2 linked regions of the Drosophila melanogaster genome follow. The protein of the gene in region 2 interacts with the protein of the main gene of each other region in a pairwise test. Each region holds a gene or a part of one and is shown on either strand. Other genes may lie near its edges. The genes, in order: frac and Mmp2.

Region 1 (8,141 bases), on a different chromosome or scaffold from region 2:
GTCGGGATACGCCCAGTTCGCCCGATAGGTGGCGTGCATTCGCTTGCTAACATTCCTGACGTGGGCTTGTGTGTTTGTCTGTTGGTCAATGAAGGCTCCACACGGTTATTATTTTTAGAAACGTTGCACGATGTCCAATTGTTGCTCTAATTTCCATATGAGTTTTTGTCCGTGCCCATGAATGAAGCGAAATATCCGCTTGGGTTGACAGTTCCAATCAGATAAGAACTATGCAATCGATTCGGCATATTCTGTCCTATGCAAATCGCTCGATTGCGCTAGATTTCACTGTGGCCCACACCACCGCACAGAGATGATCGTCGAGGGGCCCTTCGAAAAGATTGATTTTTGATTTATTTTGGCCAAACACTTTTTTGGACAATTTTTTTTTTTTTTTTTGCAGCAATCGATTGGCTCTTGTGGCGCTGAATGCCTATTTCTGCCGTTCGGCGATTTATGTCAGTCAAGCAGTGACAGCGCTTTTCATGAGCCAATAAAGTTGTCCATGTCGCTTTGTCATATTCATATATCATGGCCGTACACCCGGCGACTTATGTCACATTCACATGGCCCAAGAAACTGGAGTATCGAGCAGAGCCTGCGCATAAACGAGGCCTAAGTGCGCGATCGAGAGACGTCGTCCGTGATGGTGACGGTGACAAAACACAATTTGGCCAGGCCAAACAAACAGTCAGACAGACGGAGGGACAGATAGACAGACCTATAACATACTTGTGTACAAACAAACCAGCTAAAAAAGTCGCATATAAATCAGCACACGCAGCTGGTTCATTAGACTCTCCACTTCGGGCTCTTGGCACTGCCATTTGGCTTGACATTAATTACATAAGCTAAGCGGCGCTTAATAATGCGCTCAACAATAGAGCAAAAGTGCTCGAGACCCAGTCGACCAATCTTGTGATGTAATGGCCTCCCCCATGCGAAAGTTTCACCTCTTAACACTCCGCCAATATCTTGAGCTTAGATGGGCAATTTGTTTATTGATGGTCCTCTTTAAAAATCTATGAAATTATGTGTACTTAATACTTAAATAAATACTAATACTTAATACTTAAATAATTTCATACCTTGTATAAGCGCGTTATTTTTATAAGTTAAACAATTTGATTTACTAAAGAATATCAAAAAATATAATCATGAGTTATTTTTAATGGTACCCTAATCTCTAATACGCATCTTAACATAGCTTCCTTTCCATAAAAATGTTGAAAAGAATATTAAATGTAAATAAACGAGTAAAATTTGATTCAGAAAAGTCAAAATGAAAAAGATGGAATAGACGGTTGTTGAGTGTGGGAGCCGAAAATGCTTTATGAGTATTTGCATTTGAAACAGGTAGTTGTGGGTGTAAATCCATTATGTCCGACATATAAATACTTCGAGTATCAAACTTTATTTATATTTAAGGCGAACTACGTCCTTTTGTATTCAATTACAATTACGATTAAAAACCATTTGTGATAATCTACAGAGTAGCTGAGCGAGCAGACTATTTATTCTATATAGTACCAGCTAATATAAATTATGTTAGAGACTACCGCATTTGACAGCTGCTGAAGGATCAATGCGATCAAGTTCAATGGATGACGGAACCTCATTAATTATCACAGCCCAATGCTAATGATAATACCATGGGTAAAAATAGCTTTCCTCTACGCGTCCCCCTCTGGTGACATTTGTGCGCTCTCGCACTAATTTGCTTTATGATATCAATGAAATATCAGCATATATACACCCATAAACTTATATATATATATATATCTTTGGAGACATCGAAAAACTGTTTTCACGTTCCCTTCGAGAAAAGTCAGAATTTCTTTGGCTCCTCAGTCTTGTCTGGGCTCTCGACGGAATCGGTGCGTTTTCCAAAATAAAAATACTATTCCTGGTTTTTCCTTAAACTACAGAAGTATATATACAGACTGTTTTTATGTGTTTTAAATCAATTAAAGTAGTGAAATTCTCAGTGAACTCTAATTGCAAAAAGTGCCTTCGTTTGATGTAAATCCGACACATTTACTTCACGAATGACCTGTGAATATATGTAAAAAGTGTTGAACATGTGCTATTTATAAACCCGCCTTAATCTTAATGGCTTTGCTCCTCTATATGCCGCTACATATATAGATCTTCTCCCATAAATATGTTGGAGAACAAATAAAAAAAAGAAACGAATGTCGTGAAATCTTATTAATGTATTCTTTTTTATAAAATTTGAACCCAAGAACCCGATACAAGTGAGAGTGGAAAGGTGTGTGGCAGCTGTTCTATAAGGATCGGAAATAGGGCTGCAGAATGTGGGCGGCAAAATATGTTTTATGCGCGCTAGCATGCGTTGCATTTGCTTCAGGTGAGTGTGGGTGGAAATCGAAAATATTTCACGGATTTTGTGGAAATGGGAAATTTATTGGATAGCTTACAAGGAATTTTGGGGATTGTAAAAGATTATTATAGTTTGGATTGTGCTTCTTTAGATTATGGCAATCGGTTGGGTATTACGAAATATATCATTTAAATAGATTTAAATAGAGAATGTAAAAATGTATTCCAATTCAGACCTATTGAGTATTGTAATATTTAATTGGAAATTATAATTATTTGCCTTAAGGCCTTAAATTAAATCATTTTTTTTTTTTGATTATTTTGCTTTTTTGAAATGTATGTATATATATTGACCATTAAAATGTCCACAAAATGGTCATAAAAACCGTTTGGTTTATAGCTAATGGAGCATATATTCATAGTTTTATGACACGTTCTCCGGAAAATGTGTAACACAAAATAGTCATGGCTAACACGGGGCACTTATATATTTTAGCGAAATATTACTCACCAAATTACCGGCCGGCTTTATGAAAACTGAACATATAAAAACTGATCGTAAATCAAAACAAAGCAAGTCCCAAAATGACAAATTAAATTAAAAAACCGTGAAGACTATATGGCAAAGAAATATCTTTTGGCAACGATTCAAAAGATTGAATCACCTAGTTTTTATGGGATTCCCCTTAAAGGCAAAGATTCTAGGATAATACAATCGGGCTTTTTTTTTTAAACATATTTGGGTGATTGTGAACAGCTGTTTGTGGTATGGAGCGAACAATAAAATGTTTTATTGCCTTTAAGTTCTGGTGAGAAATCTTTTAGTGCACTAAATAATTTTGGATGCATAACACGGAAAACCGTTTATGTTTATGTTATGGGCATGTTCATTTTTTTTGATCTGCATACAACTTTATTGTTATAAAATCGCACAATCTTTTAGAACTAATGTCTCCAATCCCTGGAATTTCTATTAAATAGGCCTATAAATTTCAACAGGTTTCTTTTATGCTAATTTTCTGGTTATATCTTAAAAATTAATGTATTTCTATTTCCATTTAGCTTCTCCAAGCTCCGAGCGAAAAAGGAAAAATGTCATGAATATTCCAGAGGATCCTAAAGTTTCTGACTCCTTGGCTGCTTCTTTGGACATGAGCTGCTCGTCGGCCAAAATCCTTCCGCCGGAGATTAATCATGGTAGGGTGTCCGTTTTCGATCGCCGCCGGAGGGGAAAGAAGGTCTTCCTAGTGGCCTTTTTCGTATGCGATGATAACTACGACTTTGAAAACGGAATCTCAGAAATGTTTTGCTCGAACCAGAAATGGGTGGATGAAATACCCACCTGCATTCCCCAATTGAATTTTGAAGAACACGACGAGAAAGTAGGTTACGATTTGGAAGATTATTCCGACGAAACTGTGCCCAACGATTACGTCGAGAACAGTGATATTGATGAGGATGATGATGAAGAGGTTAGTGAAAGGGAACCACCACCGCCACCACCACCACCGGTAGTGGATGGAGCCGATTCCAAGCCTGAACCACAAATAGTTATCGAAATTAATGATGATCATGCAAATGAAGTCGTTGAATCAGAACCTGCTTTAGCGGAGACTGAAACTGAAAATGAGGTCCTTGAAAACGAAACTCCCCTGAAAGCGGAAGTCCAAACTGATGTACTCAACTCCAGCAATGCATCTGTTAAGGTCACCAATGATCCTTATGAGCCAACATTCTTGGATAACAATTGTGGCGAAGACAATGGAGGCTGTGCGCACATTTGCAAGCGATTGCTTTATCCAGATGAAAACCAGCCCATCAATAAGTGCGATTGTCGAGAGGGTTATACCCTGGATCCTAACGATTATGCTAGCTGCCTCGGTGGGTGTATTATATATAATTAAATTGAAAGAATTTGCTAGACAATATTATTCTTTTTGAAGATATCGACGAATGCCTGGAATCGAATGGTGGTTGTTCGGAAATTTGCGAAAACCTTCCAGGAGAATATAAATGTAGCTGCCAAGAGGGTTATTACTTAGACGAGTCAGGAAAGAGTTGTGTTGGTATGTTTTAATAAATGATATTTAAAAAGAAAAAAAATTCACATTAAATGGTATATACTTGTTTTCAGACATTAATGAATGTGCGAATCCCGAGCTGTCATCGAATTGCCAGGGTGCTTGCGAGAATCTGCCAGGTTCATATCGCTGTGTGGAGCCGCTGGAGGAGAATCCCGAGATCACGGAAGTCGTGGAGAATCCCATTGAGAAGACCAACGAAGTCCCAGTGAACGTTTCCGAATCACAACCCGCCGGAAAAACATGTAATTCTGGCTTTCAACTTTCCGCCGACGGCACTGATTGCCAGGACATTAATGAGTGCGAGGTAGACGGTCCTGAGGATCTTGATAATAACGCAGTCTGTCAGCAAAAGTGCGAGAACACTATTGGATCATTCCGTTGCACCTGCGTTGAAGGATACCACCTGCTCGAAGATCAACGAAGCTGTGCATTGGATAGCTGTACGGATCTGGAGAATCCCCAGTTGAATCGCACTCGATGTGCCCACGAATGCCAGGATTTGCCAGAGGGAAGCTACCGATGCGTGTGTCCCAAGGGTTATGAACTATCAGAGGATCAGCATTCCTGTTTGGTGCAAGAATCTCCATGCTCCACAGAAAAGGGAGTTGAAAAGTGCTCCCCGGGAACCTGTCTAGCCAGTGAGGATAATACCAGCTTCAGTTGCATTTGCCCAACGGGCTACCGCAGTGAGGCATTCAGTTGCCAGGACATTGATGAGTGCGCAGAGGATACACACCTTTGCAGTCACACTTGCCAGAATACACCCGGTGGTTATCAGTGCCAGTGTCCCGAAGGACTCAACCTGGTCGAGGAGTACACCTGTTTGGCCGAGAATCTCTGCGAGGTGAACAACAACGGATGCGAACAGATCTGCCTGACTGCCCGAGGAGGAGTTTGCGCCTGTCGCGAGGGATTTCGATTAAGTGCCGATGGCAAGAGTTGCGAGGACGTGGATGAGTGTCTGGTAAATAACGGTGGCTGCCAGCAGGTGTGCCGAAATCTTCCAGGTTCGTATGGGTGTATATGTGCCGCCGGCTATGAGCTCCTCAAGCTTGATGGCATACGCGGCTATTGCTTCGACATCGACGAGTGCTCGCAGAGAACTCATGGGTGCAGTGATCAAATGCTTTGCGAGAACCTCAATGGTTCGTACACCTGCCTCTGTCCACCGGGATATGCCCTTGGCTTGGATAACCACATAGTCACATCACTAAACAGCTCATTCATTACTGATTCAACCTCATCCGAAACCCCATCAGCGCATACATGCTTGGACATTGATGAGTGCTCTCTGGCCAATGGGAATTGCTCCCACTTTTGCCAGAACGAGCCTGGTGGCTTTCAGTGCGCCTGTCCCTTGGGCTATGCCCTATCCGAGGATATGCGCACCTGTCAGGACATTGATGAGTGCCTCGATAGCAATGGCCAATGCTCGCAGCTCTGCTTGAATCAACCTGGGGGATTTGCCTGCGCTTGTGAAACGGGTTTCGAGCTAACTCCAGATGGATTCGGTTGCGCCGACATTGATGAGTGCTCGCAGGACTATGGAAACTGTAGCGACATCTGCATCAATCTTTTAGGTACCCATGCCTGTGCCTGCGAAAGGGGCTATGAGCTGGCCAAGGACAAGCTAAGTTGCCTGGATGTGGATGAGTGTGCCGGCCTTCTTTCCGGTGGTTGCAGCCACGAGTGCATCAATAAGGCAGGTACCTTTGAGTGTGGATGTCCCTTGGGTTACATACTCAACGACGATGGTCGTAGCTGTAGTCCCGCTCTGGTGGGTTGTCCACCGGGAACTCAGCGATCCGCGGATGGATGTGCTCCAATTGAATGCAATCCGGGTTATACCCTGGGATCGGACGACAAGTGTGTGGACATCGATGAGTGCCAGAAGCAGAACGGTGGCTGCTCGCATCGCTGCTCCAATACCGAGGGTTCATTCAAGTGCAGCTGTCCACCGGGCTATGAACTAGATAGTGATCAAAAGACTTGCCAGGACATCGATGAGTGTGACCAAGACAAGACTAGTTGTATCACTGGAACCTGTATAAACGAGATTGGAGGCTTCCGCTGCGAGTTTCCCAAGTTCCCCGTTCTGCCGGAGATTCCCACAGCTTCGTCACTGCCTGAATCGCCCAAAATTGAATTGAAGACGCCAAAGTATCCTGATTTCACCGAGCTGTCCAATGAAATACCCGAGAATCCCAAGAAACCAGCTGAGTTCGATTACCCAGAGCCCAAGTTTCCATCTTTGCCTAAGTGGGAAGGTCTTCCAAAGCTTCCGCCCCTTGCTGACATACCTACATCGAAAGCACCCGTTCCCCTGCGTCCTGAAGTGCCTAAAAGTCTGTGGGTTAATCAGTTGCAACCCAGGGATCTGTGCCCTCGATTTCAGGCACCACGAAATGGCAAGTCCCACTGCAATAGGTATCGCCATAAGCAGAAGCTCTTCTACTACAGTCGCTGCCGAATTTCATGCAATTCGGGCTATATTCTTCAGGGTCCTGAGATCAAAAGCTGTGACGCCAATGGAATTTGGGAGGGGCCCGAAACCAAGTGTGTTGGTGAGTCATTAAGTTAAGTAATAGATTATACAGTTGGCATTCCGTACCTCTTCCGTACCTTTTCGCAGCCATCAACCAACCTCGTGCACAGAGTCCTGGAATCTGCCCCGCTCTAAAGCCCGCCCAAAATGGAGTTATACTCCCAGCTAGCTGCACTCAGGGTCCATCTCGATTTGGTGACGTTTGCCGTCTTCAGTGCAATGCTGGCTTCGTGTCCACCGGATCCTTGTTGACCGCCTGCATGATGCTGCAGGGCTGGTCGTTCGGTGCAGATCTCAACTGTCAGCCATTCGGAAACGGTTTGCTTGGAAATCAATTATCCCCGATGTGGAATTCTCCGAAAACAGTGACTCCTCATCAAATCCAGAATGTGGAACAGATTAGGCCCTATATCAATTGCCCGGAAAATGTTGTAATCCTACTGCATGCCGGTGAGCAGAAGGCTCATGTGACTCTTCAAAGACCCCAAACTAATGTTAAGAATGGCCGATTGGTCGCCCATCCCGCTTGGGCTGGTCAACTTCAGGGTCATCTGCCAGCTGGAGTCCATAAGGTTGACTTTAGAGTTAACGATCCGGAGACCAAGCTCACAATTAAATGTCACACAATAATTACTGTTAAGGCTGCAACACCTAGAGAATCAAATCCATTTACTTTGTTTCGAATATCTGATTATTCAAGATCATCACTTCCCAGACCGGCTCCATTTGCGACTTTGTCCACTGGTAGTTCATTCTCATTTCCTGCATTCAAAGCCCTGGATGCAACTCCAAAACCAGTTTCCTTTACCAAATTCCAAGTTTTCCCAGATTCTGAGTCATCAGAGCACTCGAAACTTGGGTCATCTTCCTTCTTCAGGCTGGAGCCCCTTTTCCACGAGTCATCCAAGCTTATAAGTGCTGCTCCTGCTTCTAGTGAAAACACACGGGTGGATTTGGGTTCGGATACCTCCAACTATTGTCCTCCATCCATTGAAGTATATCTGAAGGAGAATCAGAATCTGCGTTCAGTGGTGTGGGATGAGCCACGATTCGAGGGAAAACTGCTCAAGATATATAAGTCACATGTAAGAAAAACAAATGGCTTTTAGAATATTATTACTTAAAGTATCTATTTGCAGTTTCCGGGTTCTTTGTTTAAAGTCGGCGAT
Region 2 (4,863 bases):
ATTTCCATCATTTATTTGATTACACGCCACTCATAAGCGTGAATGCGTGAGTGTATGCGAGCCATCCGGAGAGTGTGTGTGTGTGTACGGGTGTACGAGTACGTTTATTGAACCGACTTCATGGCATCGCCTAGCTGGCGACACTCAGGCGAACTCAACCCAGTAAAGATTCAACTCAACTCAACTTAACTCGCCGACTTGTCCGCTCGTTCGGTTCTTTTCTTTTTAGTTCCTCTCATATCGCAGCTATATATAGTGCTCCATATATGCATATGCATATACCTATCTCTATATGGCATATGTTCGCTCATCCAACGGGCAGCTGGGAAGCGGTATCCTTACTAAATAAACAATATGCAAGTCGTTCAAGACCTCGACCCAAGTACTGTTTCAGGGATACTCTCTCAATCTTATTCATTACTCTAGGAGTATTCAAACTATAGGTAATATAATATTTATATTATATTATTTAAAAATTTAGTAGAATCCAAGGATCCCACTAGAAATTCTAAAATAATATTCGACATATATTTTCAGCATGAACATTTATTGCAGCATGCGATTTTAGAGCTCTGTTGTTTATACATTCATGAGAAAATCCATACAATCTTCGGTGCCTACCATCTGTGGTACAGAGCTTATGTGCGTCCTACTTAGTTCCAGTTCTTATATTTTCCGCAAACGCTTCAGAACTTTAATTACGGCTTTCGAACTTTAATAAACGCCAAGATTTGGCCCAGCCACACGAGGAGAATCGCATCAATGGCTGGCTGTACATTAATAGTTCATCCTGGCCGGCACGCATGTCTGGAGCTGGTGAGTCAGTGGCGCGGGTTCAATGTCCTGGCGCGCCTTAAAGAATGCCACCGCGACTCCTTGGCACACGAGCAACAAAAACAAAAGGCGAGCATAATGGGTAAATTGCTCATATTTTGTTATTCTGATTAAAAAAAATGCGCCCGCTCTCATTAACTGCAGAAATTCGCGAGGAAATGTCCTAGTGGCCAGGGCTCCACATGGGCAGCGGCGATGTAGTAAGGGTTGTGGGTGGAGGGGGCTGGGGGTAAAGATGGAGGCAGACCCACAAATGCATTAAGAGCCATAGGACGCATGCCCCCAAACAATAAGCGTGCATTGTGCACTACGAACTGCAGTGGCCATACCCGAGACTACTGGGGGCCCTCATCTCGTGGCGTCTGTATGCACACACATGTACAGTGCGTTTCGAACGAGTAAGGCGGACTTCGTTCGTTCAGTGAAGTGAGTTGCATACTGGTGTATTCTTCCGCGTAATAAAAATCAGAAGTTAATGAGAAACTTGGAATCTCTTTTTTTCCATGTATTATAAGTCATCATCCTTTACCATTTCGCTTATATCACGGTTTCCAGAAATGCCAATCAAGTTGTTTTTGAAGTTACTTAACACAGGTTGATACTGGACCTTTGTTTAAACATTTTACGGAAACAGATTAATCTACTAAGCACACAACATGCAAATATTTAAAAGTAAATTATACCTTCCTAACTTACAGTTAGATATATAACTACGTCTCGTGCTGTCTATGCATATGTAGAGCATTTTGGGATTTTGAGGTCATAGGCTCGAGCAGCCACAGCAGCATCTGCATCGTGGAGTGAGGGGGAGGGGGGGATATGTGTGCTGGGGGCCTTCAGATCCGTCTATCTCGATTGTACTTAACCCGCCTCTCGATTTACTGTCTGCTACCAAATGCGGAGATACGGATTGAGTATCTGAGCCGCCGGAATGAAAATGCGCCTACTGTAGGCTAATTTTGTTTTCCTTTGTCCCCTTTCTAATTTACCTTCTTGCTCTTTAACTTCCTATTTACATTGTTTAATTATTTATGTCACATTCAATAATTGCTTTTACAATTTTTATTGCAAACATTGTGCGATTTCCAACAGCTCTAGGGATTCAAATGTCAATTATTGATGAATTTTTATTGAAATGGCAATTGGGTCAAACAGTGCTTAAGCATTTACCATCAGATATATGTAGGATGATTGATTGCATTGCGTTTTATTTTGGGGAATTATTTTCATTTCAGTCGATGCACTTTGTATAAACACCCAAATTTACTAACTTGATCGATACGATATATCATCTTATAGAGCTTAAAAAAGCTGGGTTCGGAAAAATCGAAGTTTTCAAATTTGGAGCCTTACCATTATATCCTCGGAGATAGCGGTTTTTGCCTTCTTGGACCTGGTCGCAGCGGTGGAGTGAGATCCTTCGGGTGGGAGGGACAGCTCCTGGATGCACATGGATTGCGCAAAGAGTGCGAGCAGGGTGGCGAGAACATATTTGGAAAACATTTCGCCGCTCTCTTTCGCTCGCGCAACGAAAACACTTGGACACGAAACTATTCCTCGATCAGTAGGAACAAAACTGTGTATTTATCTTTATTCTATGTTCGAGGCTTAATTAACCGATGTGGTGGACTAACAATTCGTAGTGCTAAGCTGGGAATTGAACTTTTCACTTTTGTTTTAGTTTCGCTGCTGTTGTTGTTTTTGCTATTGTTGTCGCCTCGGCCGCGGGGGTTGACACAGACACACATGCGCATTGGCGGCACTCACACGAATACCCGGCAGCATAAATACAGCTGCAGCAGCAACAAAAACAACGGAAGGAGCGATGGGTTGTGGCGGGGAGCGGTGGGGATTGGGCGGGGGTATTCCCGTTTTTCCGTTTGGCGCTTCTTGTTCTGGCGTTTTGTGCTTGCCGCTTTGTTGTGGCCACTGCTTCTTTCCTTGGCTTTCCTTTCTCTCTGTGCCTTCCGCCCTTTTGCGCTCTTTTACATATGACGCATACGAATGGTGGGAAAACAAGGAGCTGGGGGCGTTGAGTTGGGTTGGGCTGGATAGAATTTAAATTTGGTGTGTATAGAATGCACACTATAGAATGCCACTTGGCCACAAAAACACAATTAATTAGCACGCAGTGGCTGCACAAAGGAAAGACTTTCCTTGTTCATCCGTTTTTTAGTATATGCCCGATACCAACACCGATTCCCGATTCGCGTTACCCGATTCCTGTCAACCGTTACGTCGCTTTGTTCACCCCACAAAAGAAAACGCTAGAAGTGGGCGGTGCTCTTTTATTCGCGTGTTTTGTGCAAGCATAAATCTCAATTTCTCCTTTTTACATTTATTTGTTTCTGTCGAATTCGAAATAAAAAATCTCGTTATACCGCCGAAAGCGGGTTTACCGCGCGGATGTCTAAATGTGACTGAACTGCTGACTTGCCTCGACGTGAAGCGACTTGAAGAGGCGGGCACAAAGAGCACAAAAATACAGAGTAGCTTCTCTTCATTTGGGCGGATATGCCAGCGATCGCGGTTGATTTATGAAAATACGTAAGAGTAGAAGAAACTCGCTCTTGTCTCACGCTCTTAAGGGGGCACAGAAAGAAAAAGCACGAATTCCAAGAGGCTCTAAAGGATTTTAAAAAATTATTTTAAATTAGGCAGCAAAAAACATTTTTTTTTTCGTAATAATCTTTTTAAATTCTGAGCCTATAACTTTGTTCATCCGTATTTGTATAGTTTTTTATTTAGAGATCTGAAATCCAATGTATTTAAAATTTCCTTTTTACATATGAAAGAATTATATTAAAACTGAAAGTACAAACACCGTGGTCAAAGACATTTATGTATTTTCCACTTTGTTATTATATTTGACTCATAAAAAAGTAATTTAATTAATTTAATTTAATTTAAACTTAAATCGGTAGCAGTATATAAATTATTGCTACATTCATTATAATTTTATACCATATACTCTTATGATTTGATTTTTGGTATTTTATTGTAAAACAATAATAAACAAAATTTTTTTTAAATAGTATAATAGCTTCAAATATTTCAAATTATGTTGGTCTGTGTGACTTTGGGTAGGTTCTTTTCTTAAGTGTATATTAATATTTCTCTCTGCTCTTCGATATTAATATTTTTTGGCTACTTTATACTCTTCGATTTTGGCTACCTAAAAAGTGTCAGTCTAACACGTTTCCGCCAAGTTGGGACATTTGCCTATTGCACAATAAACACAAGGCAGATGGCGTTAAATATTGATTGATCGAGTAGTTCCATGAAAAAGGAAACTAAAATCTAAAAAATAATGAATCGATATGAGTTAGCTACATTTGATTTCTAATATTTATGAATAAGTATGAATACACCCACACCCTCGAAAATAAAAAACCCAGATCAAAAAAAAAAAAGCCCATATATTCTTGGGTACTTGTTATCATATACTGCAGAGTATTATTCACCAAGCCGGTTATATTTTTGAATGAATCAAAATACGAATGTTAGCCGCTGCCGGTTACTCAACGTAGTATTCGAAAGGATGATTATCTTTTTCCATTCACAATCTTTTGGAAATCCCAAATAGTCATTGATAATGCTCTTGCATAAGCAGCCTTGATATATCCAATATCAATGTCCACTTAAACTCAATTTACTGTCACTTAATCATAGCCAATCTAGAACCGCAGTAGATCTAGTCCCTTGATGAGTCGAAATGCTATAAAATCTATAAATGATTGTTTTGAAAATGTATATGTTCTGCGATAAATGCAAGTTTATCATAAATATATAACCCCCACGGGGTAAGAGATAGTAAAATCATATTTTGGTATTATCACATTCAAATGTATTTCATTTCGAAACATGATCGTTTAGTGGCGTGCACCACTGTATGTACACACAGATATCCGAAACAACTTGCCGGCAATTTCTGAACTTAGACTGAGGTCTTGGGTTCAAGTGCTAATTGGCCACGAAATTGAATGCAAAACCGATTTTTGATCTGCGGCTGACCCAAATAAAGTACAA

The links.
Region 1: the proteins of Mmp2 (region 2) and frac interact in a two-hybrid assay, tested with the Drosophila melanogaster proteins (one study listed by BioGRID).

The regions. Positions count from the first base shown.
Region 1 is NT_037436.4:7,560,763-7,568,903, forward strand, and holds the start of frac (faulty attraction), read left to right. Parts: upstream 1-1,847; 5' UTR 1,848-1,930; exon of another isoform or gene 1,931-2,246; 5' UTR 2,247-2,316; coding exon 2,317-2,371; intron 2,372-3,405; coding exon 3,406-4,224; intron 4,225-4,286; coding exon 4,287-4,409; intron 4,410-4,477; coding exon 4,478-6,991; intron 6,992-7,059; coding exon 7,060-8,057; intron 8,058-8,111; coding exon 8,112-8,141.
Region 2 is NT_033778.4:9,680,596-9,685,458, forward strand, and holds the start of Mmp2 (matrix metalloproteinase 2), read right to left. Parts: upstream 3,264-4,863; 5' UTR 2,338-3,263; coding exon 2,188-2,337; intron 1-2,187. UniProt on the Drosophila melanogaster protein: Has metalloproteinase activity. Proteolytically cleaves the PGRP-LC receptor; involved in gut-fat body innate immunological communication (GFIC)-mediated activation of the imd/Relish signal transduction pathway.